3 linked regions of the Mus musculus genome follow. The protein of the gene in region 1 purifies or fractionates together with the protein of each later gene. This does not show direct contact. Links are inferred from orthologs where the notes say so. Each region holds a gene or a part of one and is shown in the gene's direction. Other genes may lie near its edges.

What was found.
Region 2: the proteins of Copb1 (region 1) and Copg1 fractionate together in Homo sapiens (co-fractionation; 11 studies listed by BioGRID and IntAct, counting the BioPlex papers as one, with this or other methods). This does not show direct contact. The link is inferred for Mus musculus from reciprocal best matches to the Homo sapiens genes COPB1 and COPG1.
Region 3: the proteins of Copb1 (region 1) and Copg2 purify together in Homo sapiens (affinity purification with western blotting; 4 studies listed by BioGRID and IntAct, with this or other methods). This does not show direct contact. The link is inferred for Mus musculus from reciprocal best matches to the Homo sapiens genes COPB1 and COPG2.

What each region holds. Positions count from the first base shown.
Region 1 is NC_000073.6:114,215,214-114,221,623, reverse strand, and holds the end of Copb1 (coatomer subunit beta), read left to right. Parts: intron 1-1,952; coding exon 1,953-2,098; intron 2,099-3,912; coding exon 3,913-4,002; intron 4,003-5,005; coding exon 5,006-5,161; intron 5,162-5,686; coding exon 5,687-5,746; 3' UTR 5,747-6,065; downstream 6,066-6,410. UniProt on the Homo sapiens protein: The coatomer is a cytosolic protein complex that binds to dilysine motifs and reversibly associates with Golgi non-clathrin-coated vesicles, which further mediate biosynthetic protein transport from the ER, via the Golgi up to the trans Golgi network.
Region 2 is NC_000072.6:87,892,814-87,899,223, forward strand, and holds part of Copg1 (coatomer subunit gamma-1), read left to right. Parts: intron 1-982; coding exon 983-1,140; intron 1,141-1,227; coding exon 1,228-1,361; intron 1,362-2,880; coding exon 2,881-2,948; intron 2,949-3,113; coding exon 3,114-3,302; intron 3,303-5,139; coding exon 5,140-5,235; intron 5,236-6,410. UniProt on the Homo sapiens protein: The coatomer is a cytosolic protein complex that binds to dilysine motifs and reversibly associates with Golgi non-clathrin-coated vesicles, which further mediate biosynthetic protein transport from the ER, via the Golgi up to the trans Golgi network.
Region 3 is NC_000072.6:30,812,011-30,818,420, reverse strand, and holds part of Copg2 (coatomer subunit gamma-2), read left to right. Parts: intron 1-1,582; coding exon 1,583-1,678; intron 1,679-2,246; coding exon 2,247-2,490; intron 2,491-4,634; coding exon 4,635-4,710; intron 4,711-5,573; coding exon 5,574-5,677; intron 5,678-6,410. UniProt on the Homo sapiens protein: The coatomer is a cytosolic protein complex that binds to dilysine motifs and reversibly associates with Golgi non-clathrin-coated vesicles, which further mediate biosynthetic protein transport from the ER, via the Golgi up to the trans Golgi network.

The sequences.
Region 1 (6,410 bases):
CATGTGATAGTTGAGTGTTTTGTTTCTTTAAAGAATGTGGTATTATGTACTTATGGTCGTGCTTGAGGGCAGAACATGAATCTGCTGATTTATAGGGTACTTTATATGGTAACCAAGCATTGTATTATGTTCTAGGTAATACCAGATTGAGCTGGGTGGAGGCGTCATAGTCCTCAGGAAGCCACTAGGCAGGATGAAAGGACAGATGTAACAACAGTGTGATTAGAATGAGTTTGATACACGGCATACTTCGGGGTCAGATAGAAAGCAGTGTAGTGTGGGAAGCTGTGTAAAGGAAGATTTGTTATTAAGGAACAACATGTACTAATCATAAAAATTCATAGAGGTCCTTGTGGCCAAGCACACAGGAATATTTCAAACGTTGAGATAGGCTTGTACAGAAGAATTCAGTCAGTATTTACTAGCAATTTCTGTTATAGGCATAAACTACCATAGTAAGGAACAACAGATAGGTCTTAAGATGGTTAAGGTCAAGTAAGGGAAAACAGGATATACAAAATAAGTTCCATACATAAAGCTAAATGTAATGAAAGATACGTATATGAGCAGTGAGTGAGTCCATGAAGGGATTTGATCAGTTCTCAAAGTGTTGTAAGGATTGAAAAGTTAGGAAGGGCTTCACAGCTCTCGTTGAGTTGGATTTTAATCAGGAAGTAATCCACAGAGGATTGACTGCAGGCAGAGCAAATGCACATGGAACGATGGGCTGAGCAGTTAGAGTGAAAAGCAAATTAGGAAGTCAGGAAGGCTGACCCTGCTTGCCCTGCAAAAGAATTGAGTACTTAAGCATGGAACAGGAAGACACTGGAGGATGACAATGAGATGTATGGTTAAATATTTCTGTGACAGCAGTACAGATGAGAACTCTGTAGAGGACACGGAAGATTGCCTGAGTAGGTTATTGAAGACACCAAGTGAAAGGGGAGAGCACTGCCTAACCTGACAGAGCAGTGCTTAGATAGAAAGGAGGGGGAAGTAGAGCTCTTTAGGGGTGTGTCTTTAGATACAGGACTGTAAACTGACGAAGACAGTTTTGATAACCCTCCGTTTCCCTAAAAGTAAAAAGAGAACTTAGACCCCTATCAGAGTAGAACTTTAAATTTAGGTTTTAGTTTTAGGGGAGACAAGGGAATGGTGATGGACGGTGCTTGTTGTTAGTTGGTTGTTTTCTTGAGACATGGTTTCTCTGTGTATCCTGGCTATCCTGAAACTCATTTTGAAGACCAGGCCAGGCTGGCCTCGAATTTAGAGACTGGTTTGCCTCTGCCTCCCAAGTGTTGGGATTAAAGGTGTACACCACCACCTAACTTTGGTTAGTTGGTTTGTTTGTTTGTTTGTTTTTCCTGAGACAGGGTCCCACTGGGTAACCCAGACTAGACTCAAATAAAGTAATGCTTCTACTTTAGCTCCAACTTCTGAGATTATAGGCATGTACCATCCATCACAGCCATCCCAGATTATGTCTTTCTAGGGAAGAAACAGTCTTGGAGACAGATAATCTTATATTACAAAATTGCATCAACATATAACCAAATATTAGGAGGAAAAGTTTAGATTTATAACTAGATCTCAACTATGAGAATACTGAACTATTTGTGTATCTGGCGTAGTACCTGGCCCATTATAGCGGCTATATAAATATTCACCAACTTAAGCGTAACAACAACAGACAAAGTGTACCTGAGCCCAAGTCCTGAGTCTTAAGTCCTATTGCCTATCAGTTCTGTAACCTGAGGTAACTTACTTGACTTCCCTGCTTTCCTAGTCTGCGAGATGGAAAATCGTAAGGTACAATTGATGGCACTATTCAGTTGGTAATATTTATAAAGCACTGAGAATCTAGTATATATAAATATTTGCTAATATCATAAATATTTGCTATTTTGAACTAACTTCCACCCTTTGGGGATCTTTCTGTATGTTTATTACAGTTTATGATGTTTCTGGAGCAGCAAGTGACAGAAACTGTGTGGTCCTCAGTGACATCCACATTGACATCATGGACTATATCCAGCCTGCAACTTGCACTGATGCTGAGTTCCGTCAGATGTGGGCCGAATTTGAATGGGAAAATAAAGTTAGTCATTGAGAGGTTTCCTATGCATATCTTCCTGATGACTAGTGCTGAGGGCTTTTTTTGTTTGTTTGTTTGTTTGTTTGTTTAAATATTTTTTTATTACATATTTTCCTCAATTACATTTCCAATGCTATCCCAAAAGTCCCCCATACCCTCCCCCCCCCACTCCCCTACCCACCCATTCCCACTTTTTGGCCCTGGCGTTCCCCTGTACTGGGGCATATAAAGTTTGCAAGTCCAGTGGGCCTCTTTCCAGTGATGGCCGACTAGGTCATCTTTTGATACATATGCAGCTAAAGACAAGAGCTCCGGGGTACTGGTTAGTTCATAATGTTGTTGCACCTACAGGGTTGCAGATCTCTTTAGCTCCTTGGATACTTTCTCTAGCTCCTCCATTGGGGACCCTGTGATCCATCCAATAGCTGACTGTGAGCATCCACTTATGTGTTTGCTAGGCCCCGGCCTAGTCTCACAAGAGACAGCTATATCAGGGTCCTTTCAGCAAACTCTTGCTAGTGTATGCAATGGTGTCATCGTTTGGAGGCTGATTATGGGATGGATCCCTGGATATGGCAGTCTCTAGATAGTTCATCCTTTTGTGTCAGCTCCAAACTTTGTCTCTGTAACTACTTCCATGGGTGATTGTTCCCAATTCTAAGAAGGGGCAAAGTGTCCACACTTTGGTCTTCGTTCTTCTTCAGTTTCATGTGTTTTGCAAATTGTATATCTCAGGTATACTAAGTTTCTGGGCTAATATCCACTTATCAGTGAGTACATATCATTTGAGTTCTTTTGTGATTGTGTTACCTCACTCAGGATGATGCCCTCCAGGTCCAACCATTTGCCTAGGAATTTCATAAATTCATTCGTTTTAATAGCTGAGTAGTACTCCATTGTGTAAATGTACCACATTTTTTGTATCCATTCCTCTGTTTAGGGGCATCTGGGTTCTTTCCAGCTTCTGGCTATTATAAATAAGGCTGCTATGAACATAGTGGAGCATGTGTCCTTCTTACCGGTTGGGACATCTTCTGGATATATGCCCAGGAGAGGTATTGCGGGATCCTCCGGTAGTACTATGTCCAATTTTCTGAGGAACTGCCAGACTGATTTCCAGAGTGGTTGTACAAGCTTGCAATCCCACCAACAATGGAGGAGTATTCCTCTTTCTCCACATCTTCGCCAGCATCTGCTGTCACCTGAATTTTTGATCTTAGGGCTTTTTTTTTTTTAAGTAATTCCCTCTAAAAAGCAAACAGCTTTTCATTATCTATTTCTGTGTATTACCTTAACTAGAAACCATGCAAGCCCTTTAATAATTCCATTGGTGAATTAAGTAGAATGGCAGTTATTTCTGGGATCTTGTGATAGTATCTTGCTCTCTAGCCTAGTCAAGTCTCCAGTGCCTGACCCTCCACCCATGTCATCTTGGCACTGGCACTATGAGTGTTCATCACCATGCCTACCTAGTCATAACTCTGTAACTACTTTGGTTGAGACAGTATAGACAAGATTCCTCTTCTTCTGTGACCAGGTGATAATCTACCATTGGCTCTTGTACCTTTGAGGCTGTGCAAAGTCTGTGGCCCAGTGGGAAGCTTTGTCCCTTGAGTTTTACTTGAACTCTGTATTTCCTTGATGGTCTAGTGAGATGTCTGTGTCTGAAGCCGCTGCCGATACCAGTTGGTTTCGTAGCAGTCGTTTACTTTTTTATTGCCCACACTCCACTCTTCCCCTCCATAGTTGAAGGAAAGTGTAGGATGAAAAGACAATGCAGTTTCACTGTAAGGCTCACGGAGTCTTCTCCTCTGCAGGTGACAGTTAACACCAACATGACTGACCTGAATGACTACTTACAGCACATCCTCAAGTCGACCAACATGAAGTGCCTGACTCCAGAGAAGGTAGGAGGAGACTAGAAAAGGCTAAAGTCCCTAAAAAGACTAGGACAGTAGTTGGTTGTCTTTTCCGGTTTCCTCTGCCATTTTTTTATAATAATTCAGCATGGGAAAACTGAGTTGCTCTGGAATATGAGAGTAATAACTACCCACAGATATTTGAGCTGCTCACCTCTCTTCTGAACTGTGTCTTCCCACTCGTTCATGGCTATGCCTTAACTGGGACAGTCAAGTTACTTGGGTTTCTTGCTTTTAGTTTTTTGTCTTCTCCATCTTTCAGATAAGAGACTTTATTCTATAACCATTATTTATTTGTGATACTAGATTAGCAAATGCCCTCCTTCGTGGGCTAATTGTACATCAGAATAAATCTCTAATGCAGTGGCTTTCTGCTATCTACATGCAAAAAGACTAGAACAAAGACAAAATGAAATTGAATCTCTAAGTATCTTTCTTTAGAAAATTTCTGTTAGTGCCATAATGTGCATCTCCCTAATAAGAGAATGTCAACTGTCATCTGGGTGTGTAGCTCAGAGATAAAATGTTTGCTTAGTATCCAACACACACACACACACACACACACACACACACACACACACACACACACACACACACACACAGGGAGCAGGGGGCGTGGAGGGCAGATGTGTTTACTGCCAAACAAGTAGATTTTGTATATTAGTTTCTTCAACAATTTCTAAGTCCAACAAAAGAAGTCTTTCTTTATGGAAGTTAAAAGCCTGGTACAGGAGAGAAATAAGAACAAGAATATATAAATATAAATTTGAAGAGATACTCTCTTCAAAGTTATGTTTATTAAGTATAATATGCACAGGGAATTCTTAAATTTTTACACATACATTTATTTTGAGTTTTGGAAAACTCATTAGCTCCTATACCCAGTACCACATAAGTAAAGCTTTAAATAATAGTTTGCATGTATATTTGAGTTTGCCAAGGTATAATTCTTTAGCAAAGTATTTAATTTATCACACATTTTTCCCCCCAGGCCCTTTCTGGATACTGTGGCTTTATGGCAGCCAATCTTTATGCACGTTCTATATTTGGAGAGGATGCACTTGCAAATGTCAGCATTGAGAAGCCAGTTCACCAGGGACCAGATGCTGCCGTTACTGGCCATATAAGAATTCGTGCAAAAAGTCAGGTAATAACATCCTTTTTTGAGAGCATCTCTGCACCAAATAAAGGGAAGAAGAATTCATGTCTGTCTTATTTCTGTGGTATAATTTCTTCTGTCATAATTATGTTTTGTGCATAAGACATACATACATACATATGCATGGTATTTTCTGAACTTTAATTCATTTAAAATGGCTTATTCTACAATACTGCCTAAAACATTGATTCCTGTGTGATATTTGTGAAACAGATTTTGTAGAGTTTTTTGAAGATATGGCATAAGTCAAGCACTAACCAACATAACTAAAATCAACCCAGTATAAGTTTTTAGAGTCTGTTTTATATATCCTTTGCTTTGTTGTTGAATGTGATGTCATCCAATGGAGGCTGGTATAAGCTATTTGGGCATTGTTTCAGTAATTACTTCTTTGTTGAGTGTGGGGATATAACTCAGTCTTGGGAATGCTCTTCTAGCATGGTAGACCATGAGTTAATCCTCAACATCACAAAAAATAGATCAAAATATGAACATCTTCATTCTTCTTTACAGGGAATGGCCTTGAGCCTTGGAGATAAAATCAACCTGTCTCAAAAGAAGACTAGTCTATAAGGATGAACAAAAGGTCTTTGAAAGTTTATGCTTAAAATTTAGGTGTGGGCTGATTGGACTCCAACATCTTTTGTACTCTTTTCATGCTTTATGTTATGTAGAATTTGAGTTCATGCTGAATGCATTCCAGCCAGTAATTTATAGCCTTTCCCCTAAATCAAGAATGAGTTTAAAATTATAGTCTGTCTTTTATCTTAACAGTTCTGAATGCTGTCCTCAAAGTATATAATGTTTCTCATATGTACCAAGACCATTTTCACAATAAACAGATCTGTTCATACATTTTTGTTATTTTATAAATAAATTACTTAATTTTAGATTTGTATCTGTGGGATTTTTTTTTTTACCTTGCTGCCTACATTTATGAAGAAAGCTTACAAATTGAGTGAACTGTATCTTCATTTATGAAGAAAGCTTACAAATTGAGTGATGTAAAATGGAACAGGTACTAATTCAGTGCATTATTGTTTCCTCATTTTCTGTAATGACATCAGTGTCTCTAAAACTCCTAGGGTCTTTTCTCAAACATTGCTTCAGGGAGAAAGTATCCAAATTACTTGAGAAAAGGTCCATCTTTGGCTTAAAGGAGCTATTACAAACTGACTGACATCAGCATACTGTTCTTGATGATCCCAAATTATTACGGAAATTAGGTCATCTAAAA
Region 2 (6,410 bases), on another chromosome or scaffold:
TTGTCACTGGGTGTGGGAGATGGGGACATGGAGAGAAGCAGCCAGGGCAGCACATGGGTGTTTAGGAAGGATTTCTCACTGGATGCTGCTGATAGAACCAAGTCTATTGAACGATAGATGGGAATGTTTTGGAATACAGGCTGTTACAACCCACCTGGCCTAGGTAGGCCGATGGCCACCACAGTCCAAACCTTTGCTGAGCTGGTTCTGTTAGTGACATGGGGTTTCCATCTGAGAAACTTTCCTCTGTAACCTAAACCTGGTATGCCTCTCTCTGAGCGTCAGTTTCTCTGGAACGTTGGAAGAGCAAGGGTTAAATGAGAAGACATACACAATGAGGGATGGGAAGGAGGCTTGTCCCTTTCCCTCAGTGATTGTTGTTCTCCTCACTCTGTGTGGATCATGTCTTTGGGGTCAGTAATGATGCTCTAGTGTACACCTCTAAGGGTCAGAAGCACTGACTACGTGGAAAGTACACACACCTGCCATACCTTGGCCCTCACATGCCACTTGACTAAGAATGGACAGAATGAATGGGAAGTGACCTTGGTAACTTACATTTCTAAAAGTGGTGTCCCTGGGCTTCTAGACCTCCAAAGCCAGCTTGACCACAGTGGGACAAATAAGTAGGGACAAGCAGGCCAGTCCTCTAGGTGTTGGAAGGGTTTGTGTTCTGTGTCCCACAGGACTATGCTCATATCTTGCCCTAGCTGTGTGCTGCAGCTCTTTCTATTCTGGTGTCTTCTCTCACATGGTCAGGATACCTGCAGGGTCCAGAACTCTGGTGCAAGTGAGAACATCATGTATGTGATAGTGTGTTGGGCACGACACTGGAGTTGGTTACGGGGAGTGCTTGGGAGTTGTTCCAGCCCCTCTGTGTGGACATGAGTGCTGTGCTTAAACAAGAAGGATGGAGCTAGAGACACACAGTGCCCTTCCCAGGGCTTCTGTGTCTGTTGCCCATGCTGCCTCTGTCCTTCAGTACCATGCCCTAGGACTTCTGTACCATGTGCGGAAGAATGACCGACTGGCCGTGAGTAAGATGATCAGTAAGTTCACCCGGCACGGCCTCAAGTCCCCCTTTGCCTACTGCATGATGATCCGAGTGGCCAGCAAGCAACTAGAGGAAGAAGACGGCAGGTGAGGACGCTGGTCTCTTGCCAGCTAGATGATGCCTTCTGCACTGCTGGACTGTCCCCAACTTCTTGTTGCTTTGTTCTTTGGTAGCCGTGACAGCCCGCTGTTTGACTTCATCGAGAGCTGCCTGCGTAACAAGCATGAGATGGTGGTGTATGAAGCTGCCTCAGCCATTGTCAACCTGCCAGGCTGCAGTGCCAAAGAGCTGGCCCCTGCTGTGTCAGGTCTCCATATATCCCCTTCCTTGCTGGGCACAGGCCCCGAGCCAGAGATCTTCAGATAGGCCATGATGTAGGGCTGTCACAGGTGTTGCTTTAAAGGAGGGCTGTTTTCAGTTCCATCTCAGTGCTGGTGGGGCACTGCTGGGCCAGCTGGCTCCAGAGGAGGACTCGGGGTGGGGCCCAGGACCTATAAAGCTCAGGGTGCTTGCTCATGGGGCGCACTGGAACTCACAGCTGGACTCACTGCAACTGCCCTGAGCAGGCAGAAAGCCCCTGTCCTCTGTCTGACCTTCCTCACCAGGCCTCATTTCCCTTCTGAAACACAAAGGGCCCTCTTGCTGTAGGTGGTACCGGTGGGATCTGCACAGGCTACTCAGTAGTGTGACACACACTACTGAGTGCATTCTGTGTGTGTTACTAAGGAGAAGCCAACAGCTTTCAGTTGTTTCTGCTCTAGCGAGCAGAGCAGTGCCTGTCTCCCTGCCGGATGCTGGCGTTGGGATGAGAGTAGAGAATATGCACCTGGGGCTTGAAAAGCTAAAGAGCTGCTGCAAAACAGTTGAGAGGTCAACGAGGGTCTGCATAGGGTTTCATGAGGAGGAGAGAGGGATGAATATCTAACTCAGGACCCGCCCAGAGGCAACGAAGTAAGAGTTGTAATGATTGGACTGTTCTTCTAGAGGTCTCCACAGTGGTGATGATACTAAACTGGTAGGAAGATAGGCTCAATTATGGATGCATTTACTCACTGACTAGAGACTAATGTACTCCTATGATAGTCTCATATTTCCAGAAAATGAAAGATAAGAAGTAGAGGCTTTAAAAGATACATCATCCAACTATTTTAAGAGAAATGTTAGTTCCAAAATAAATAGATAGGTAGATAGATAGCAAGAGAAAAGCTAAGCAATATTCTAGAATACAGTCCCATTCAAGACTATACTAGAACATAGACTTTAGCTGTGAGCTTCGGGCAGGCAGGTGGAGGGAATAGTGTGGTCCCTGATAGACACAGCAGTGGTCAACTCTTTAGCACTGATCCAGAGAGGAATACATTTGCTCTTTGAGAGAGGCTTTAGCCCCCTAGCTTGGTGCTGAGGTATGTCCTACTGGGTCCTATGAACATAGAAAGAGAGGTGGCTAGGTGGGCTGCAGATGTGGACAGCCCGTGACTTACCCCTTTTGCTGTCGGGTAGCTGCTACTAAAAGTCACTTGAGGTCCTTTGCCGCTGTTCCCAGGGAGTTCAGAGAATCAGACAGGCACAGCATCCACTCAGTGAGGGCCTAGCACAGGGCAGGTGCTTAGTCTATGACGGCCATTGACACCCACAGGGCCCTTGCTGACAAGGTTCAGGACGAGGCAGTTCTGCTGCTCTCTGCTAAGCAGAAGGCTTGTGTGTGACTAGCCCGAGAGCTTGTTCACCTTTGATCCCATGCCATTCCCTGGGAACCCCAGGTATTCCACTGACATTCCCTTGCCTGGCATCTAGGCAGCCTGATGACAGTGTCTTCCTCCCTGCAGTGCTCCAGCTTTTCTGTAGCTCACCCAAGGCTGCACTTCGCTATGCTGCTGTGCGCACCCTCAATAAGGTAAGAGTTGAGTGGAGAGGAGGGGATGCAGGCTGGTCCAGCTGCTGTCTCCTTTCCCTGAATGGACTGGGAGGCGGGTAGACATGGTCCCCAAAGGACCTCTGGCCAGGCCAGAGGTGAAATGACAGAATTGGGTACTGCCCGGTGTCTGTCCTCCCTCTGCAGGTGGCTATGAAGCACCCTTCAGCGGTGACTGCCTGCAATCTAGATCTGGAAAACCTGGTTACAGACTCAAACAGGAGCATCGCCACATTGGCCATCACCACCCTGCTCAAGACAGGGAGCGAGAGCAGCATTGACCGCCTTATGAAGCAGATTTCCTCCTTCATGTCGGAGATCTCAGATGAGTTCAAGGTACCCAGTACCCTCACAGCCTGCAGTCCCCAAGACAAGGGAGATGGTCTGAGCCTGCTGTCCTTCCTCCCAGTTTTTGACCCTCTGTCCCTTTGAACCTTAAATACAGTGTGCTAGAGTTTCGGAAGTGGGGCAGCAGTGGATGGGGCAGATGGGAACTGTCTGTTGGGAGAGTAAGGTTTAGAAAATGAGCAGACATGTAAATGAGCAGTAGCCTGAGATGCAGTGAGGAGCTGGCCCTGAAGTAGCAGCTGCTGGGGAGGAAGGCAGTGTGAGCCAGGGAGAAGGGGCAGGAGCAGGGATTGGGAAAGTACTCGGAGACAGGCCAGCTGGGGAGCAGGTCAAAGTGGTGACATCAGAACAGGCTGCGGTTGTTTCCTGACGTAGAGCTCATGGTAAAGTTCTAATTGTAAAAAAGTCGTTTGGAAGGATGGTGGTTTGGGACTTATTTTTTCTATTTTTCAAATCAAGACAGGGCATCCCTATGTAGCTCATTCGACCTTGAACTCAGGATGCTCCTGCTTGAGCTCCTTCATTGCTACTGGGATTACCAATATGTAGTGCCCTGCCTGGCTTTCATTGTCCTTTCTGTTGTCATTTCGGTTTTTCTAAACAGGCTGACTTAGAACTCAGTAGAATACAGACTAGTGTCAAGCTTGGAGCAATCCTCCTACCGTCTCCCAAATGCCAATAGTAGAGATGTATGCCACTGTATCTGGCTTCTCTTACTCTTTCTTTTTTTTTTTAAAAGACAGTGTTACTCTTTGTAGCCCTGACTGTCCTGCCACTCACTCTATTGACCAGGCTGGCCTCGAACCCACAGAGATTTGCATGTCTTCCTCCTGAATGCTGGGATTAAAGGCGTGTACCACCACCACCCAACATATTTTTTAAACTTTTACTTTAGAATAATTCACAGGAGGTTGCAAATAAATAACTAAGAGGGGAGCCCTGGGCATTTCTTTCCGCTCCAGTGCCCATATCCAGCACAGTTGTAGTTGATGAGGAAACCAGCCGTTGTACGATCTAGAGAGCTTACTTCGATTTCGTTGGTTACGAGATGCATGTGTGATACCTTTCAAAATTGCTGCCACAGTCAGACTTAGCATCACTAGACAGCACTCAAGCTCTCCATTCCTAGCCCTGCACCCCCGATTCTTGACAGTCGCTAATATATTCTTATTTTGCATAGTTAGATTATTTCATTGTTATATAAGTGGAGTCATGAAATCTGCAGAGTTTCTGTCAGCAGATAATAGTAGGAGCAGTTTTTAATTCAGCAGGATAAATTCTAGAGTGTGGGTTGTACAAACTGGGCAGAAATCTACTCTGCCTGTGGGTTATATGAAGGCGATGTGGTGAGATTTGCAGATGAGAATAACCTAGCCCTCCTGACAGTGGAGGATGAGTTTGAGGAGACTTGGATCTCAGAAGATGAACTGGCTTAGGAGCCTGCAAGAGCGGTGATGTGAGAGCCATAGAAGGACTTGAATCAGTTAAAGACAAGGGAGGGGAGAGCAGAGGGAAGAAGTAGGAATGCCAAAGAGACTTCAGGAAAAGAGAGGAGAATGGAATGTCAGGTGAAAACAGAAAAGGCAGGGAAGAAGCCGGCCAGGCAGGGCTTGGAGACCGAGACACACTTGGTCTGCCAAGACTGCCATATTTCCCCTGCCTTAGGTGGGTTCAGGACTTATGCCCCAGCATGGAGAAGTGTTCCTCCTGGTTTCATCTTATGTTGAGCCCAGGGCATGTCTTCCCCTGGAGGGACTCTGTGGCATTTAGTGAGCAAGTCCCCAGGACTGTCAGGGACTGCCACTCATTCAGGTCTCTCTCCCAGGTGGTGGTTGTCCAGGCCATCAGTGCCCTGTGCCAGAAGTATCCTCGAAAGCATGCTGTGCTCATGAACTTCCTGTTCACCATGCTAAGGGAAGAGGTAAGGGCGGGGCCGCTGGGGTCCTTCACATTCTGTTGGTGCAGAGAATGGCCTGACTGCCAAACTTGTCTCTTGGTGTTACGCTCAGAACACTGTTAAACGGCTTGTTTCCGCGCCTGCGGCGCTTTAGACTCCGTGCACAGATGAAGCAAGAGCAGCAGCTGTCATAATTACAGTAGTGATATGTGACTCACCAGCATGGCAGCAGGTCCAGCAGGTGCCCCAAGGCAGTGCTTATACAGAAGGGCGGGGCATGGGTTCTGTTATGAAGTCTGGTGGTGCAGGATGCTGCATGTCAGTCAGGAGCTCTTGGAAAACTGGGGCTGAAAAACACAACATGGGTGCCAGGATTTTGTTGGGTGTTGTTTGTTTGTTTTAGTTTTGTGACAGGGTCGCTGCATAGATCTGGCTATCCTAGAACTTACTATATAGACCAGGCTAGCCTTGAACTGACAGAGATCCACTTGTCTCTGCCTCCAGAATGCATATCTGTAAGAAATGAACTTCCACTGGGCATAGTGGTGCCCACCTTGAATCCCAGCAGTCTGGAGGTTTCCTAAACAAACCTAATGACTTGATTTTAATCCCTGGATTCCATGGTGGAAGAAGAGAAACAACTTCTAAAAGTTAACCTCCTGTCCATGTTTGTGACATGAGATATATAGCCCTGTATTCACATACATTTTTAAAACATACACACAAAATGATAAGTGTGTGTGCATGTGTGTGCGTGTTAGTGATTTGGGGGGGGGTTGGAGAAAGTTTAGGAGTGCATACTGTTCTTGCAGAGAATCAAACTTTGGACTCATGATTAGCAGTTGATAACTGCCTATAACTCCAGCTGCAGGGGATTCAACACCATATCCTAGCCTCTCTGAGTACCTGTACTTATGTGTACTTATGTGCACATATCCTCACATAGACATACACACACACACACAACACACATTTTAAAAAAGAACAAAAGAAAAAAGGATTCTGGGAACTGAAGGTGTAGTTGAACTGGTAGGATGCTTGCCTAGCATGCTCGAAGCCCTGATTTGGCCCCAGCACTGTATAAACTGGGCAGGTGATACATACTGCACTTCCCATGCCTGTATTGCACATCCTAACAATTGGAAAGCAGAAACAAGGTTCAGAGCTCAAGGCCATCCTTGGCTACATAGTGATTTTAA
Region 3 (6,410 bases), on another chromosome or scaffold:
CACTTACACATTTGTCTTCTTTAGTATGCCTTTTATAAATATAAGATACATGCATATTTCTTATTTTATTGTACATCAAAATTAGCATACTGCTGTGCTCTTTTTGTACAGTACTTTTTTTTTTTAACCTAAAGATAAATGGAAGCCATGCTAAATTTTTTGAAAGAGATATGCCTCATTTTCTTTACAGCTACATAATACCCCAGCAGTTTTTATATATAAAACAAGGTTTCTGTTTGGGTAATGTGCAGTTATTTTGTACTCAGGAACAATGCTTCAAGGTATACCCAAAGCGTGTGGTTTTTTAAACATTAGATCTGTGTTTCAAAACATATTTGTTATGAAAGCTAAATATAATAAATATTCATAGAGCAAGCCAAATGCTGCCAGGAGTGTATAAAAGTATGGCTTCCAATAATCTTACCAGTAGTGTGTGTGTTGAGCTGTTGTAGTTTGCCAACCTTTTGGATGAGAAATAATGTTTCAATGTGTAGTTTTAATTTCTGTTATCATAAGGAAAATTAAATATCTTTCCTTTTTTAGATCCTTGTGTATGTGCTTGTATGATATTTGTGTGCAAGTATGTGTGTAGACATGGGTACATATATGCTAGAATATGTTTGAAGGCCAGAGGACAAGCCTAGGTGTCTGTTTGAGGCGGGTTCTGCTTGCTACTGCATTCACCAAGCTAGCCTGTCCACTGGCTTCCCACCTCTCCTGTGTCCTCCTCCCCTCTAGATCACTGGAGCAGCATTGGGGTTACGGATACTCATAGCTGTATCCACACTTGGGTCCTCACACTTGCTTGGCAAGCACATCACCCACTGATCTATCCGTCTCCCCAGCCTAACCATCTTCTGTATTGCCAAAGGTCATTTCATACCTCTCTGTGAAGTGCCTGTTCAGTTTTTCCACCACATTTTTTACAGGATTTTGTCTTTTATTTTTTCCATATTTTAACACTTCTCTTATGTTAAAGATACAAACATGTGAAACATGTTGCTACTTTTCCCCCCAGTTTTCCATTTGTCTCCTGTTAGAATGGATTCTGTAATGCTCACGGTTTTTGTTTGTTTGTTTGTTTTTTGTTTTTTTGTTTTTTGGATTGTGGTGTAGTTATATTCATCAGTCTTTTTGTCTATTCCATCTGATTTTTAGTCATTGTTAAAATCCTTGTACTTCTTATTGTGGAGGAATTCACTCATGTTCACTTCAGAAACACTTATACTTCCGTGTTTTATTCAAGTTTCATATGTCCTTGCTCTCTGCATTTCTCTATCTACTTTTTTATCTATTTGTACACACCATTGCCACACAGTTTTTAATAAGCTTTGTCGACCCTGTTAGCAGCTGTTAACTTCCCATCAAGGCTGTTGTTACTGTTTTCCAAGCTTGTATGTTTTTTTTTCTTATCAAAATAAAGCTCCCTTGTTTCATAACATTTTTATTGTTATTTTTATTGGGATCATATTAAATGTATAAAGTACTGTAGAGGAGAACAAGCTATCTTATTGATGGTGAAGTCCTAAGCAAATACCAGGATTGTGTTCAGCCCCTTTGACTGCTGTTTGCTTTCCTCCAGGTGGTGGTCGTGCAGGCCATCAGTGCTCTCTGTCACAAGTACCCTCGGAAGCACAGCGTCATGATGACTTTTCTTTCCAACATGCTTCGAGATGATGTAGGTAGTAGTCTACGTTTTAACATAGGAAGTTGTTCTCTTAAATTCCCTCGATTGCTGTTAAATACCACCACAGTGTTTTTGTTGTTATTGTTTTTAACTCACTTCTTCATGGTTTGTATCATTATTTTTTTCTTTGATGTTGTAATGCATATATTCAATGTATCTTAATAATGTCCACCCCTTTCCTGCCCCTGGAGGCTCTCCAACTCAACCCAGGACCTCCCATTAGTATTTTAAGCATATTTCTTTATCATGTGTTAAATATATTTCTTTCTCATTTCTGTATACCATGCAAACATATACAGAATTCCAACTGCTGTATTTATTACAGCTAATTATTTTCCCACTTGAAGGGGAACAACTTTGTTTTTATTGTTATATTAAATAAAGTTAGTTGAAATTTTAATATTATAAGCATGAATCTTAAAATATAAGCATTTCTTTAAAATAAAATTCTAAAAAGTTCCTTAAAATGGGAACACCATTGGTGGTGGGTGGTGGTTAGATTTTAAAAAAAAAAAAAAGTCTTTAGAACAAATAGCAGTTTTATCTTCTCTTTTCTCAGGGAGGTTTTGAATACAAAAAGGCCATTGTGGACTGCATAATCAGCATTGTGGAAGAGAACCCTGAGAGTAAAGAAGCTGGTCTAGCCCACCTCTGTGAATTCATTGAGGACTGTGAACATACCGTTCTGGCTACTAAAATTCTCCACTTATTGGGCAAAGAGGGCCCTAGAACTCCTGTTCCCTCCAAGTATATCAGATTCATTTTTAATAGGGTGGTCCTGGAGAATGAGGCTGTCAGAGCTGGTGAGTCATTAGAGCACAACTAATGATGTCATTGCTGGTCTTTGAATATAGGTGATTCAAGAGAGTAGTAATGAAGTTGCAGGTTCCCTAATGTTGTGATATGATCTTGGAGGACACCCTGGTTCCAGATATACAGCTCTTCTTTTGTGTTTCAACTTCCACACAGATTTTTGCCTTTAATTAGAGACCTACAGCCCTTGTCTTTCAGTGTGACAGGAATACTATAGTGGGGCCTCTATTTTTTCTTTAAACCATAAGTAAAATGTATAAGGATTTATGTATGTATAGATGTGTTCATATATACATCTTAAGTGACTCTTTCTAGTCTATTACCTAGAATCAGTAAATTCTCCTGTGATCCCTTCTCTTATAAACTATTGACCTTATCTATCCTTATATTTTGTTTCCAGATAAACTCAAAAATGACATCACTAGTTGCCTTTATATGCTCTTTGTCCATTTTTTTTTCAGCTCAATAAAATTTGGCCCTCTTTAAATTCTTTCTTGTTTCATTTTTAAATTACATATAAGTTAACTGGTCAGTCAGACTACTTAATATTTTTATCTTAGTTCACATTCTTCTAGATTGTTTTTTTGAGCTTTGTTGACTCCTGAATATGAATGTTCACACCACCCCTCAAATATAATGTGAAATTCAAACTACTTCAAACTGAAATCTTCACTTGATCCTACTCTCACAAGACAGATTTCAGTCACAGAGTTGAACCTTCCTCTGTTCTTTACCACAGTGCTGTCACTTTTCTTCCCTCCTGATTCTTCATTCTCCTGTCTTTATGTCGTTTGGTACAGCTTTAGGCTTTCATTCATTTCTGATCCCTAGCTCATCTGTTTCTAGTTTCACAGACAGTATTTATTAGCTGAATGTGAAGAGCCGTCATTAAAATAGCAAACTTGGGCTGGAGACCTGACTTAGCCTTAGGAGTACTTACTGCTCTTGCCAAGGACCTGAATTTGGCTTCCAGCATCTACATTACATGGCTAACAACTACCTGTAACTCCAGTTCCCAGAGGATCTGATATTTCTGACCTCCCCTAGCACGTGTGTTCATGTGTACATAGCTGCACACAGGTGGATATACATGATTAAAAATAATTTGTACAAAATCTTAAAAAAACAAACTACATATATATCCTATACCTATGTGGGATAATGTAACCTTTAAAACCTTGACGTCTGTGTGGTTTTTAGTTTATCTCTAGTCTTTTACTTTCATTCTAACATGGGTCCAACACTAAGCCTTTCTCACTCAAGTCTAATAGCAACACTTTCTGCTCAGGACACAGGACGTTTTGATTTGTTTTCCTTTCTAATACTCTTGTCCTGCCTTTTCCCTCTGGCTGAACTAACTATCCTAAAAAATTAAGTGCAGTAGCATCTCAAATCTTTGTCTTTCCTAAGCCCCGTACTTACCTAGCAACTTGGATACAGTTTACGAGAGATTTACTAGGCAAGATAGTCTTTACTTGTCTATCTTACTGCAGCCACACTCCTTAGGTTAGAGACCATGTCTTTTATCTTTCTACCCCTTAGCTCTTGCCACACCTCCAGGTAAAATTTAGGTGAGCATTGAATCCTTGTTGAATGAAAGAAATTTTAATAATAGTTTTTTGGTGCTAGTTGTTTAAAATTTGAACTGAATCATGTCAGAGGATATATAAGAGGCTGTCATGGGGAAGAGACAGCTCACACCCAGGAGATAGATAGGTGGTAGATAGATAGACAGATAGATAGACAGATGATAGATAGATAGATAGATAGATAGATAGATAGATAGATAGATAGATAATTATTTTTCCTCGCTGAATGAGAATCTTCCTCTATAGAGTTTGCTAGATTCTTCACTATTCTATTTATATTTAAGTAAGATCAAGAAACTGTCAACACAAGAGACTTTATTTCTATTGACTACCAACTGCTTCTCTAATTTGCTTCTAGTTTTGGTATTTTTGTTTTGTTTTGTTTGTTTTCCACTACAAGGTCTTACTTTGTAGCTTAGACTGGTCTCAGACTTTGAGTAACCTTCCTGCCTTGGCCTCACAAGTGTCTGATTTGTTTTTGAATGTTTATTGCTTAGCTCTGAGAAGCCAGTATTTACATTGCTTCATCTTGTGTTTCACAATAGCTGCTGTGAGTGCTTTGGCTAAATTTGGGGCTCAGAATGAGAGCCTTCTCCCCAGCATCCTTGTACTCTTACAAAGGTATGTAAAAGAATGAATGCTGGCTGTTGGAAAATAAGAATTCCATGTAGCTAAGTAGTAAAAAAACCTCTTTGTACTATGTCAGATAAACTGAGGAGCCAAGAGTAGAGCTGATAGAGTTAGTCCAGGGCAAATGGAGTTTTGGGGGTCTGGTTGTTTTGTTTTTGGTTTTTTTTTTTCTAGTAATTATTTATGTGCAAAATTTGAGTTTTAGATTTCTTTTAAATGATACTGAGAGAGTAAGGTTAACCTGTGTACCTCAACTTGTACAGTAGGTACTAACTTAAAAGAGATGTGAAATGATTCGTATGAAAAGCTAAAGATAGTAGCCTTTTATGATCTCCATAACTCCTTGGTTGGTGAGGAAAGGAAAAAAGTTGGTGGTCCTTTTAGCAAATATTTTGTGATTGCATTTTATAACTAAAGCAATTAACTCATTAGCCAAAGACTGAGACTAACTAGTTTAAGTAAAACAGATTGCCATTTGAACAATGGCTGTCTAGATTCTGAGTGCTAGTTTTCTTTTTGTATCCTTAGAAAGTTTAACATTTCCATTTCTTAGTTGTAGAAAAGCTGTCTTTGTTGAGCTCATGTAGTCACAGGTTCAGGATTAGATTGTAAATTATTATGTCATGGTATTGTGTTCTTCCTAGTGATCTCAGTGCCTTCTCAAATAGCAACATTTCTTTAGTAATTCGTAACAGGTCAAGAATTTTTAGGATGTTAGCTATTATTGAACTCTTGTCATAAAAGTCATATCAGATGACCTCAGCTGCACTCTTCAGGTAAGTGGTGAGACTGTTCGACATCTCTGTATACAAAGACTTAGACAGAAGTGTGCCTATACTATTTTTTCTGATCAGGTGTATGATGGATACTGATGATGAGGTACGGGACCGAGCTACCTTCTACCTGAATGTGCTACAGCAGAGACAGATGGCCCTGAATGCTACATATATCTTCAATGGTCAGTGAGAGTCAGGATTATGGACACATAGCACATTTGTTTGTCAAATGAGCAATGTTTTTTTTTTTTGTTTTTTGTTTTTTTGGTTTTTCGAGACAGGGTTTCTCTGTGTAGCCCTGGCTGTCCTGGAACTCACTTTGTAGACCAGGCTGGCCTGGAACTCAGAAATCCGCCTGCCCCTGCCTCCTGAGTGCTGGGATTAAAGGTGTGCACTACCACGCCTGGCTGAGCAATGATTTTTATGCTGAGTCATGTATTAGCTGACTCCTTTAGGCAGTTGAATGTTTTAAATCTTTGAATGCAATTCTGTTTCTAGAGAAACCCATATTCATAAAGGTATTTTCTAATTTGGTAATAGCAGTTCCTATAAAATAATAGAGAAGATGATTTTTTTTTAAAATATGAAAGGGTCCAAAGAATATGGCTTCTTAAGCTCCCTCTCTACAGAGTGAGCTCCAGGACAGCCAGGACTATAGAGAAACCCTGTCTCGAAAAACCAAAAAAAAGAAAAAAGAAAAAACTTAAGCTCCCTCTTAAATGGCTGTCCCCATTTTCATTTTCTTCTGCTTTTCTTGTTCCCATATAGATAAGATATTTTTTTATGAGAATTGCTTGCATTCTGTTGATATTTTTTATTCTTTGTTCCCATGTTTCCTTGAAAGAAATAAAGCAGCTTATAAGTTTATGAGGCAGATGTCTATAATAATCTTTTGTTAGATTAAGTAGGCTATCT